3 linked regions of the Callithrix jacchus genome follow. The protein of the gene in region 1 purifies or fractionates together with the protein of each later gene. This does not show direct contact. Links are inferred from orthologs where the notes say so. Each region holds a gene or a part of one and is shown on either strand. Other genes may lie near its edges.

Region 1 (4,035 bases):
GGAAAGCTGAGGCAGGCAGATCACTTGAGGTCAGGAGTTCGAAAGGAGCCTGGCCAACGTGGTGAAACCCCGTCTCTACCAAAAACACACACAAAAAATTAGCCAGGTGTGGTGATGCGCACTTGTAATCCCAGCTACTTGGGAGGCTGAGGCAGGAGAATCACTTGAACCAGGGAGGCAGAGGTTGCAGTGAGGGGAGATCACACCATTGCACTCCAGTCTGGGCAACAAGAGCGAGACTCCGTCTTAAAAAAAAAAATTCAGAGCAACTTTACAACCTAGAGATCTACAGAACTTTTCCGTTCAGCGATTGCTTTGACATTTTACTTATCCCTCTCTACCTTAGTATCTCCAATCATACCCACCAAATTACAGATACACTCACCCAAGTCAAATTCACACTATTTCTTTTTATATGTTAAGAACTTCTTTAGAAAAGCACAAGGGAAATGGGTTCTGTGGACTAAACAGTTAGTCAATTCACACAGATACTACACACACGATTTAGGATCTAAGTCCTCTTTCACGCTCTGACCAGTGCTTTCAATTACAAATGAATGCACTGATCTCACTCGGATAACCAAACCACGATATTACTTCATAGTGCCCCCTAGCTCTTTAAGATATATCAGTTTAAAAGGGACACCATTTGAATTGTCAATCTCAAGAGAAAGCGTCAGTCATTCTACTTATGCAGCTCTTAAATAGATACTGTATTAACTAAATTTGACTTGATAAATAATAGATAACTTAATTAAATCTTGCTACTAATCCCAGTAAAAGTCGATGAGAAAAAAATATTGTGAACTGATGGATTTGGAATTCAACCACACAATATACTACAGTTCAAAAGTTTTGTAGGATCTCTCTATAACTCACAATTTGTTTGCTTTCTGAAAGATATTAAGCAAGGGCTCATAAAATGTGCATTTAAAATGCCTTCTTTTATGTAACTTAAAGGGAAATGCCATGGCATTAGGCCATGGCTCTGCAGAGGAATGGAACCCATTTCTTCATTTTAAAAAATACTGGGATCAGATTAAACTATGATAAGATTTATCAATATCACTATAGTCAAGTTACCATTATCATTACAAAGAATCTAAATTGCTAACAGGTAAATCTGTGAGAAGAAAATATCTGACCTTGGTCCTGATTCTAAAAGATAAGTCAGATTTGGACTGCTTCAGGATCAGCAGAGGAAGACAAAAAGTAAAGAAGACAGAATGACATATACCCCTTCCTTCTGGAAATGGCATTAAGCAAGACTTCTGAGTACAACTACAACTATAAAAATTACTCAGGTTTGCAAGTGCCCTTCGCCTTATATAAGTCATTCTGAAAAAAAGTCCTACTTTACTCTACATTCAAACTCTAGTACATTCAACCTAATAAGGGAAAGAGCAGAATAGGACCAAAACTGGGGTGGAAAAAAAAAACAAAACAGGAAAAGGATGAAACTCCAGGAGGAACTACAATAAGGCAGAGTAGAGTACGTCAAAACGACTAGGTTTATTCTAAAGAATGGTTTTGTTTCCACTGTTCTTCTAAGGTATTTAATTTGCACGTCTTAAAATAGAGACCCTGAGGAGAGCAGCTTGAGGCAGTGGAAGGAAGGGGGGCGGGTTAGGTAAGAACAGAGACTTGTGAGAGAATATGTGCGGTGCATTAGAATGTGCAATGAAGAGAGTGCAGGATTCACCGTCAGGAAGCAGCTGAGGGCTTTATGAGTAGAGGCAGCATCTGATGTGGTTTAAAGAATGCGTATTACAGCCAGAATGCACACCTGGTACAGGGACAACCCTAGACAGGAAAAATCAACCCACTTTCTGTGCAAGTGCAGAGATGACCATTTTAACCAGTTCTATTGTCTGGAGCATTAAATGGAAATGCCCCAGGCAAGAGATCAAGCTAGCCAGACACCAAATCAGAGACACCGTGGGGCAAAAGGAAGGAGAGAAGATGGACAGTGGCCGCGCGGACATTCCCAGCCACGGGGCCCTTCCTCGCCAGGCAGGGGAGGGGCGCCGGGGTCACGGGGGCCGCACGATCCCCCATCTGCGGAGCCCAAGCACAGGCGGTCCCCTCCTCGGGCCGGCGACGTCTCTCACGGCGCAGCCTGGGAACACCGAGACTTCCCCTCCCACCCCACCCCCAGCCGAAAGCAGGGAAGACGCGGAACTTGGGCTCCGGAGCGGAGGCCACAGACCAGGTCACGGCCCGACTGGGGGCTCTGGGCGAAATTCCGGGTGGCCACCGCGGGCGGCGTAGGGAAAAGCAAAGCCCTGGCTGATCGCGCTTCCAGTGGAGACACTGGGGTCCGGGTGCCCGGGCCCAATCCCTTCGCTGCTCACCGACCCCCTGCACCTCCTGGGTCCTCACAGTCCCAGGCCCACTCGCCTCCGTCAGTGGCGCGGCCTCTCGGGTCTCCCCGGTCCCACCACTGCGGCCGCCCCTCTCTGTAAGCAGCTCCTCTCCCGAACCCTCGCCTCCGACGCTCCCGCCGAGCCCCGGGCCGCACCTCCGTCTTGGTGATCCGGTGCCGCGCCAGCTTCACCACAGCGAAGTTGCCCTTGCCCAGCGTGCCCTCGATGTCGTAGAACCCCACCCGGACCGGCCCGCGCTGCAAGTGCCTCGGGCCATCCGCCATGACCATGCTGGGCCCCGCTGCTAGACACGGCGGACAGGAGCGCGGGCGGGCGGGCGGGAGGGCTGGCAGCGCTTCTCGGCTGGGGCGACGGCCGCTCCGCTTGCTCCTTCGCTCCTTCCCTCCCGCTCCGCAGGGCCCAGCCAGGCGCGCGCCGCCGCTGACGTGCGCCGACGTCAGGGGGCCGGGGAAGGGGGACGGGGGCGGGCCCGGGCCTGGATTGGTCACCATGGCGACCAGAGCACCGCCGTGGTCGGCGACGGGATGGGGAGAGTGGGGGGAGGCGCGCGGGGAGGGGCGCGGGCCGGACCGGCGCACTCCTTCCGGGCTCAGACGCCCTCCTCTCGCCTCTCCGCCTCGCCGCTGCCAGGGGCGGGGTCGCCGCCCGGCCCGCTCCATTCCTCGGCCTTCCAGGCGAAGGGCAAGAGCGAGCCCTGGCGGACCGTGCAGAGCGGTGCAGAGACCTGGATGCGGCCTGAGGTCTCCTTCCCCATCCCGGCGTTCTCTGCCCACCCGGGGACCTTCCCGCCAAAACCTCTCACCTACAAGGACAGCCAGCCCTAAATTTGGCACCGGCAAAGAACTGTGGCTGAGCAATGCGTTGCTCACAGGCTGTTTCCTTTGTATCCTTTTCTCATCTCGCTTCTATCTATAATAAACCCCTCCACGCTTTGATGTCTCCTAGGAGTCATTCTGACAGCAGTACGGTCGCTTATAGACTCACTATATATGTCAGCGCTGAAGAGACCTTGGAGATCACTCAATCCAGAGATTTGGAGCCTCAAATGAGCTTCCAAGTCTGGAACTCCCTACAGCACAGGCCAGTTTTTGCTTATGTGAGCATGTCTCTGCAGAGATGGACTCGTAGCTTCTATCAGATTCCCAAACGTGTTGGTGACCCTGAAAAGGTTAAGAAATATTTCTGTAATCCAATTTTTTTTTTCTCCAGAGGACGAAGCAGACCGCAAGGAATAAAGGGAATTGCCAAGGTCACACAGCGAATGCTAGAGGCAGAATTATAAATCACACCACGCTTCCAAATATGACCCAAGGAAACAGGGACAGTGACACTTTAATATTTTGAAATATATTATGTGCCTTCATATCTTGGTTTCTAAATACCATTCTTCACATAAAGGAGTCAGACTCCGTGGCGAGAAGGCTGATTCGAGGGCAGAGACAGGGAAAATACAAAATGCCCTTGAAAGACCCTGTGCCTTAAAGCAGGGAGGTTTCTTTGCTATGTCGAGGAAGAGATGTCAAAAGAAAGGAGATGTCTTGAAGGTGCCCACCCTTACCAAATCTGAGACAATTTGAGAACCAAGAATAAATAATGATAGAAATGGATTCTAACACATTGAATTTTTTAAAAGAATCCATAGAACCTA
Region 2 (4,048 bases), on another chromosome or scaffold:
ACAGACCTCAGAGTTGGAAGGGGCTGGAGCGTGGGGTTTCGTGCTCTGCAGAGTCACAAAATTCCTAATCGCTTTATCTATGAGTGTGTGTTTCCTAAGCGATGTCTGATGGACAGCAGAGCCTGTGCTGTGCCTATGGAGTGTGTGTTCCTGCTTCCTGCCACCTCCCCGGCCTCCAGCACCCTGGACCCCGCCCTTCCTCCTCTTTGTCCCAGTGTTGCTGCTGCCCTCCCCCCCTGGCGAGGACCTGGGTCTAGGTATCATGCTGGGGTGAGGCATGGCAGTGACCACCCTTCCCTGGGCTGGCAGTACCACTGTGTGTTGGATGGGCAGTTCAGCAGGAACGACAGGTACCAGTTGTGTCTCAGACCTGAGGCTGCAACACCCTGTGGGCTACCCACCTATGGTGGGTTAGGGCATGGGCCTGCAGACCTGCGGGAAGGGGAGATTCCTGACTCCACACTACCTTCCCTGACCCTGGCCAGAAGAAGGTATCTTGTAAGCATCTGCACTCAGCCTGCAAGCATCCCTATGCCCAAAGGAACACGGCGTTACATAGGAAATAAAACCACCATGACAGGTGGAGAGAAAGCGCAGAAGAAAGTGAGTGCTTTTCACCACACTTCCCCCTACTTTCGGAACACAGGGCCCCGCATTTTCACTTTGCACTGAGCCTCACAAATTAGGTAGCTGGTCCTGGGTCGGAAGGAGGTGGGGATAGGGGAGGACTTGCACCTTTTACCCCGACCGTGTCCGTATTGTTTTGCGTTTTTCCAAGATGCATCTGATCATGCATTCATTTTTCAATTTTTTAAATTCCAAGAAGAGTTTAATGGTGACACATGCAGAGAGACACACAAACACACACAGACACACCTACACAGACATGGAGATACACAGACATACACAGACACACTTGGATACACACACAGATGCACACACAGACACAGCCACAGATTCATACACAAACACACACACACACTGGGGTTTAGAACCCAGGGACTGACTCCCAGGCCGAAGATCTGTGACCCCTTGCCAGCCCCAGGCAGGCTCTGGAGAGTCCTAAGAGGAGTGGTGAGGGTTCTATAGTAAGCCTGCCTACCCCTTTTCTGAAAAGCAGAGAAAGGCCATGTGGCATTCACTCATCCACTCACTCACGCACTCTCTAATCAACACTCAACAATTCCACACTGAGAAGCCTCGATTTGCCAAGCACAGTCAGTGTCCTGCAGGCATGACAGGATGAGTCCCTGCCCTCAAGAAGTGAGGCTATTCCCAGAGGTGGGGACAGCTGGGACAGAGAAGGCAACCCAGGTGGGAGGAAACCCCTGCTCCACAGCAGGGAGGTGGCAAACAGACACTTCAGGGGCCTGGAGGGAGCTGAGCATGAGCAGGCAGCCAGGGCGTGGTCAGAGCGTGGGGGACAATGAGACCGAGGAGGCGGCTGCAGCAGATTGTGGGAGCACTGAGAGCTGGCCGAGGAGCTCACCTGCGGCCAACAGGCCCCACTCCCTGCCACAGCCCTCCCCTCCACTTTCCTGACAGTGTCCCTGTGATGTCTTCCTGTGACACTACAAGCACAGGCCAAGGAGGACCCACCCTGAAGAAGCCTCTGGAGCTCTGCCACTGGCAGCTGTGTGGCCTCGGGAAAGTTACTTAACTTCTCTGTGCCTCAGTTTCCTTATCCTATGATGGGGATGATGTGGTGGGAGGTGGATATTTGAAAGCTCTTGGAACAGAGTGTGTTTGTTATATAAAGTGGCAGAGGCCAACACCCTGCCCAGGTCCACCAGCCCTCTGTACCTTCCATCACCCACCTCACTGGGCCCCTGAAGGGAAGAAGAAGGAGAAGAGTGAAAACAGATTCCTGGGGCCTCACCAGCCCAACTTGCCCTCTGAGCAACGTCATCTCCATTTCACAGAAGAGAAACTGAGGCCCTGAGAGAGTAAGCCACTAGCTGAAGGCCACGCGGCCAGTCAGGGTGGACCCAGGATTCAATCCAGGAGGGGCAGCCTCTGGGGCCACAGAGTGAGTGGCCCCTGTCCCTGGGACCCTCCGCAGAAAAGCCAGCCCAGGTCACCCCCCAGGGTGCGGGACCAGCTGTCCATCCCACCAACGCTCTTCGGGCTCTGGGCGAGCCACTGTCATGGGCTGTCCCCTGCCAGCTGGGGAAAAAAAAAAAAAAAGCTTCTCCAAACCGGAGCAGCAGCCGGGCCTGACTCAGCACCCACCGGCTGGGGCAGCGCGAGGAGCGCGTAGACGCGGCTGGATGGCGGATGGAACCCGCGACCGGGACTGAACTCCGCGGCGTTGGGTCTTACCCCCAACTCAGCGCGGACCCGCGCCCGCACCTCTAGCGGAGGAGCGACGGGGGCTCTGCGCGCCGATTCTCGGCCGAGACGCCGTGGCTGACACCGGTGGAGCGATCTGCCCGAGCTCGCGCAGCGGACGAGTGCTGGAGACAGGGTTCCAAGCCGGCTCTGTTGGGTTCCCTCCGGACCCGAGAGCACGGACTCCCGAGGGACCTGGGCACTTCCGACCCCAGCAGAGCCCGCCCTGCCCCAGGACCGCACCGGGGTCGGCACCCGCGCTCTCCGAGCCCCGCTTCTCACCCGCGAAGACGCGCCCTCTCCTCCCGTCGCCGGAGTCCCGCACCCGAGGGCCGCGTCCCCAGGCAGGGTGAGGTCCTGCGGGGCTGGGGGCGAGGCGCATGGGGGCGCCGGGCGGCTCTGGAGCGGCGGGGCCGGGCGCCCTGCAGCCCGCGCTTACCTTCGGAAACTTCGAGGTCGGCGGCCCCATTGAGCTGGCACAGGCACCAGGAGCCCTGGTCGGCGGCGGGCGCGGCGGGCGCGGCGGGGGCGCGGTCAGCTGGCAAAACAGCAAGGGCGCGTGAGCGCGGGCCCGGGGCGGGGGGCGGGGGGCGGGGGCGCGCGGCGAGGCTAACCCTGCTGCTGGGCCATGGGCGGCTCCGCAGGCTGCGACCGCGACGGGCGTCCTCCGGGCGGCTGCGGGGGGCCGGGCGCGGCGGCCGCTCCTCCTCCGCCTCCTCCGGGCTCGGCTCCCTGCGCGGGCGGGCGGGCGGGGAGGCGCGCCCAGGAGGCTCCGCCCGGAGCGCGGGTGCGGGGCGCGGGGTGCGGCTCCGGGCGCCGAGGGTGGGCGCGGGGCGAGGATCCCGGGACGCTGATCGCACGGCGTGGATCCCGGGGCGCGGGGCAGGGCGCCGGGCGGGGTGTGAGTGCTGGCGCTGGGGCTGTCGCCGCGGACCGAAGCGTCCCTTTCTACCCCACCCACTGGTCCCGCGTTGGCCGCCTCTGCCAGCCGTCACCGCGCGAGGGCCGCCTGCCTCACAGCGATGCCCATTTTATCCAGGAGAAACGGAGACCGGAAAAGGGGAAGGGCTCAGCCGGAGTAAGCGGCCAAAGCGGGGCTCCGCTCCGGACTCGGGTTCTGCTCTGAGCCCCTTTACGTCCTGCCCTTCCCCAGGCCCGCCCTGCTGGGAGCCGGGGTCGCCTACCCGCGCCCCGGGATCCGAAGGGGACAGCAATCAATGCCATGAGCAGGGGCGGGAGCTTCACCGGCGTGCTCTCCGACCTTCCACGTGCAACAGACGAAGGAGGGAGAGCAATCCGCCACTCCCACAGGAGGAGACTGGACGTCCCGCGGGAAGGGTCAGGGTCAGAGAAGCCCGTCCAGGGACAGAGGAGAGAGCGTGAGAGCGCGTGCTCCCCGGGTGATCCTGAGGCACCAGGGGCCGCTGGCCCTCTTGGGATCTCTCAGCTGCCTCAACCTTATGAGCACAGCACCCCAGGATGCCAGCGTGCACAAAGGGCAAGCAAAGAACAACAGGGACACACTTAACCCCCTACTCCTCCTTCTCCTCCCCTCCCCTCTCAAGAAGGGAGAGAAGCTGGGATGGCTAAGGAGGGACTCTCCAGGGAGCAGAAGAAGGAAATTAGAGGGAAGGAAAGAGTGCCACAGGCCTCAGGAGAAAGGTCAGGCCACTCCACCGCATGGTGGCCCAGTTCTAGGCCCCTGAGCTGCACCCTA
Region 3 (3,933 bases), on another chromosome or scaffold:
ACCTTACTGACGATGCTTTCAATACAAATCTAATAATAACGGCAACTAACATTTATCATGTGCTCAAATTAAGTCATTTCATCTCACCAACAATCCTATCAGGTAGGACTGTCATCTTCATCTGCTGAGCCTTGGAATCACATTAGACAGCCTGGCTTCAGAGCCCAGCTTTTTTTTTTGGTTTGGTTTAGATTTGAAAGGAATGCATTCTGTCGCCCAGGCTGACAGCTCACTGCAGTCTTGACCTGCTGGGCTCAAGCAGTTCTCCCACCGCAGCCTCCTGGTAGCTGAAACTATAGGCACGCCATCATACCTGGCTAATTAAAAAAAAAAAAAAAAATTATTTCTTTTTTTGGTAGAGATGGGTCTCCCTATGTTCTCCAGGCTGAACTTGGAACTCCTGGCCTCAAGTGATCCTCCCGCCTCTGGCTTCCAAAGTGCTGGCACTACAGGCCTGAGCCACCGCGCCCCACCCTGAGCCCAGCTCTTAAGCACGGATTCCACCATTGTTTATTTAGCTGGAGAGACCCAAGCTACTTCTCGGGCCATACCCTTCTCATCGCAAACTCAGGTTTCTGTTAGAAACCACCCTTAGTGGCCGCAGTGCCCAGGACTCCCGTCTTGGTTCCTGGGGCCCACGCGAAGGTCATTTAATTCACCCAGATGGAACCAGCCCAAGCGTGTCCCTCTGAACCCCGTGAACTTTCATCCCGGCTGAGCAGCGAGTCTGCACTGCTGTCCCTTCCTTTGTGGAGTCAGGGCTGGCGCAAAGCGACACTTTCCTAAGTAGCAATACGGGTATTCTCAAAAAAGGCACAAGACCCCAAGAATTCCTGCAGACGAGCACGTTAACTGGACAGCTGAGCCCGCCCCAGAGCCCCGGCGCTAGCGCGAGGGGCTGGGACACCGCGAGGCGCAGACAGCCGCGGCCCGGCGCAGGAGGAACGGGCAGAGGGGGCGCCACCGCGAGACGCGGGCGCGTCACAGGCCGCACCGGCCAGGACGCGGAGGGCGGGGCAAGAGCGCAGCAGGAAGGGGGCGTGGTCAGGAGCCCGCCCGGCCTCTCCCCCGCCCCTCCCCCTCTGCTCTCCGCCCAGCCCGGCGGCTCCGCCCCCTTGGTGACGTCACTGACCAGGCCAGCCGGCGCCATTTTGAAAGTGGAGTCGCCTGCCCCTGCCGCTGCCGCCGCCGCCGTCGCTGTCGTAGCCGCCGCCGCCGCTGCCGGAGAAAGAGCACGAGCGGGGAAGCCCTAGAGTGAAATCTAGCATCCTGCCGGCTGCTCTGCCCGCCCCTCCTTCCTTTTCCCCCAGCCCCTGTCCCCTCCCCCCGCAGGTGCCATCCGCCGCCATCCGCCCTCTCTACCCCCCCATCCCCAGGTGAGGGGGGTGAGTTCAGGAAGCGGAGACCCCGAGGAACCCCGCAGGGTCACCATTTGCAGCGCAACATGGCAGGTAAAGGAGAAATTCCCCTTGCCCCCTGACAAGGCACCGTTTCCTTCTTCCTCCCTCCATCACCCCCTAGCGACCGCCCGCGCCTTGCGCGGAGCCACGGGGCGCCCCTCGGGTTTGAGGGAGTGGGGTCCAGGGGGGTGGGGTGGAGGCGGGGAGGACTCCGGGGAGGCGAGTGGTCGCGGCGAGAGCCACTGGGCTTGGAGAACGGAGCTGGCGCCGTGGCGGGGGTGGGGGTGGGGTGTGCCGGCGAGCTTGGGGTGAGGCGTGGGTGGGGCGGGGTGGGGGCGCGTGCAGATTTGTCTCTCCCGCTCGGGAGCCGGGTGGATCCTCTCCTACCTCGCCCCCCGTCTTTATTTTCATTTTATCCTGCAGGTCTTCATTTAATTTCTATTTCCCCCCCTGCTGCAAACCTTCTTGGGTGTATATACACATTATTTTGCACTGAGAAAGAAGAGCGCCTTACAAGTTAAAATGCAGTGGGGCCATATGTGTCTTTTTTTTCCCCCACTGTGGATGCCAATATTTTTGAGATTGGAAGCCTAAATTTTTTGTTTCAAACCATTTCCTTTCCGTTTCTTTCCCTCTTACCACCGAAGAGTGCAAGGCCTTTCATGTACAGCAAGTTGCATGAAAAACATAATTTCAACTTTCCGTTTAACATGTTAGCTTTTTTGCAGATGTCCTTTTCCCAAAAGGGTTTGGTAGAGTTAGTTAAAATAGTTGCGGAGTTCAGAGATATAAATAGCAAAGAGGAGAGAGATTTAGGTAGAAGCTTTGGAGGGGGGGGGAAAGGATGTAGAGAGAAAACCAGTTTGGAAATAAATTTAGCAAGGAATAGGGGTGACAGGGGAGAGAGAAGTAATGTAATTGCTTTGAGAATTCTTTTTGTACATGTTGGTGTTGCTAAGTCTTTTCCTTCATGTAGTAGAATGGGTTCCAGATTTAGATTCAGTGTCTTTCTCCCTAGAGTCTCAGGACGTTTTCACCATTTCGTTCTCAGTACTTGCACGTGAAATAGAAACATTCCGAGATTAGACCAGTTTACCGTGCTGTATTCATTACTTAGAGAATTAAACCATTTGAAAAAGTTAACGTGTCGGATTGACTTACGGTTTGCTATAAAACAAGTTGCTTGTTGGCCGTGTTTAATGATGAAATGAGATTAAAATTGTTTTGCACGAGATGACATACTAGCGAAATGAATTATTTGCCAGGTCCTTCGGAGTGGAGGGCTGAGGTGAAGGGAGGCAGAACAGGCTTCCTTTGACAGTCTCTTTAGCAGCATTCATTTTGGTTTCTTTTCCTCTCTGTCTGGAGCCAGTGATTTGCTGGTAATGAATGCAAAGAAATGGGTGTAGTGTTTGCTGTGTGTGCACTTTGGTGATAGGGTTCATATGAATCATTACTCCTCACCCAGGCAGTAATGTTCCCGAAGTTTTCTCTCCGTTCTATGTTTCATGGTAGTTTAACCTTATTAACTCTTCTGCAGGTTTTTTGTACACTTAAAAAGAAAACTCTTTAACTCTTGGTATTTACACTTTTCTGGTAGGTCTTGCCTGAGTGTAAGCCTTTTAAGATATTTGAGAGGAAGGGAAGTTTGTGAACAGATGTATGATGACCACAGAACATACGCCTTTAAAGATTTCATACCTGGAACCTTTTTTTCTTTTTAATACAGTACTAACTATTGGGGACTAACCTTTTTCCAAAGTGGTGCTTTTGGTGGTGGTTGTATGTGTGGGCAAAACTAAGCTGTTAGTGTCATGATCATGCCAACCGTGGATTGTTTACGAGAGTCAACATGAGCAGAACTCAGTTTTAATTGGTATGTTTTCTTTCCAGGAGCTGGAGGAGGGAATGATATTCAGTGGTGTTTTTCTCAGGTGAAAGGAGCAGTAGATGATGATGTAGCAGAAGGTAAGAAAGCATTTAATAATGCAAAATTTGGATATATAATTTTTTCAGAAATCTTTCCTGAGGGATTTCCTTGAAGCCAAGACTATTAAAAATTCAAGATGATTTTGTGTTTATTGTCCAAGAAATGTAAGAACAGTTTTAAAAGTTACGTTTCTGAAATACAGCCTTAAGTTTCTTTTGTAATTTATGCCTTGTTTTTATTTTTTACTCTGAATTTACGTGAAAGGAGCGATAGATGATTAGACATATAGAATCGTCACATGAAAGCTCTGAGCTCCATATAAGGGTTTCTTTGTTATATAAATTCCACATAGAAATAAATGGTGATGCATTTTTGTGTTTGTACATTGTTTTTAGATAAGTAAATTGAAATAGGTGCCATCAACATTTGGCTCAGAAACATTCTTAGCAGCATCTCTAATTTTTATGGGAAGATTCTTAACCTCTCTTGACTTTGCCTGCTGTGGAATGTAGTGCTGATTGGCATAGTCTGTGAAGAGATGACAGCTCACATTATTCATTTTGTTGTCTTTCTGGTAATTAGGTGGATAAGACAGTAACTGCT

Evidence for each region. The genes of interacting proteins can lie anywhere in the genome.
Region 2: the proteins of SIK2 (region 1) and PPP2R2C purify together in Homo sapiens (affinity purification with mass spectrometry; 3 studies listed by BioGRID and IntAct, counting the BioPlex papers as one, with this or other methods). This does not show direct contact. The link is inferred for Callithrix jacchus from reciprocal best matches to the Homo sapiens genes SIK2 and PPP2R2C.
Region 3: the proteins of SIK2 (region 1) and PPP2R2A purify together in Homo sapiens (affinity purification with mass spectrometry; 3 studies listed by BioGRID and IntAct, with this or other methods). This does not show direct contact. The link is inferred for Callithrix jacchus from reciprocal best matches to the Homo sapiens genes SIK2 and PPP2R2A.

Annotation. Positions count from the first base shown.
Region 1 is NC_133511.1:11,304,730-11,308,764, reverse strand, and holds the start of SIK2 (serine/threonine-protein kinase SIK2), read right to left. Parts: upstream 2,801-4,035; 5' UTR 2,657-2,800; coding exon 2,522-2,656; intron 1-2,521. UniProt on the Homo sapiens protein: Serine/threonine-protein kinase that plays a role in many biological processes such as fatty acid oxidation, autophagy, immune response or glucose metabolism.
Region 2 is NC_133504.1:186,790,556-186,794,603, forward strand, and holds the start of PPP2R2C (protein phosphatase 2, regulatory subunit B, gamma), read right to left. Parts: upstream 2,801-4,048; coding exon 2,614-2,800; intron 1-2,613. UniProt on the Homo sapiens protein: The B regulatory subunit might modulate substrate selectivity and catalytic activity, and might also direct the localization of the catalytic enzyme to a particular subcellular compartment.
Region 3 is NC_133514.1:15,258,894-15,262,826, reverse strand, and holds the start of PPP2R2A (serine/threonine-protein phosphatase 2A 55 kDa regulatory subunit B alpha isoform), read left to right. Parts: upstream 1-1,133; 5' UTR 1,134-1,444; coding exon 1,445-1,451; intron 1,452-3,293; coding exon 3,294-3,368; intron 3,369-3,933. UniProt on the Homo sapiens protein: Substrate-recognition subunit of protein phosphatase 2A (PP2A) that plays a key role in cell cycle by controlling mitosis entry and exit. Involved in chromosome clustering during late mitosis by mediating dephosphorylation of MKI67.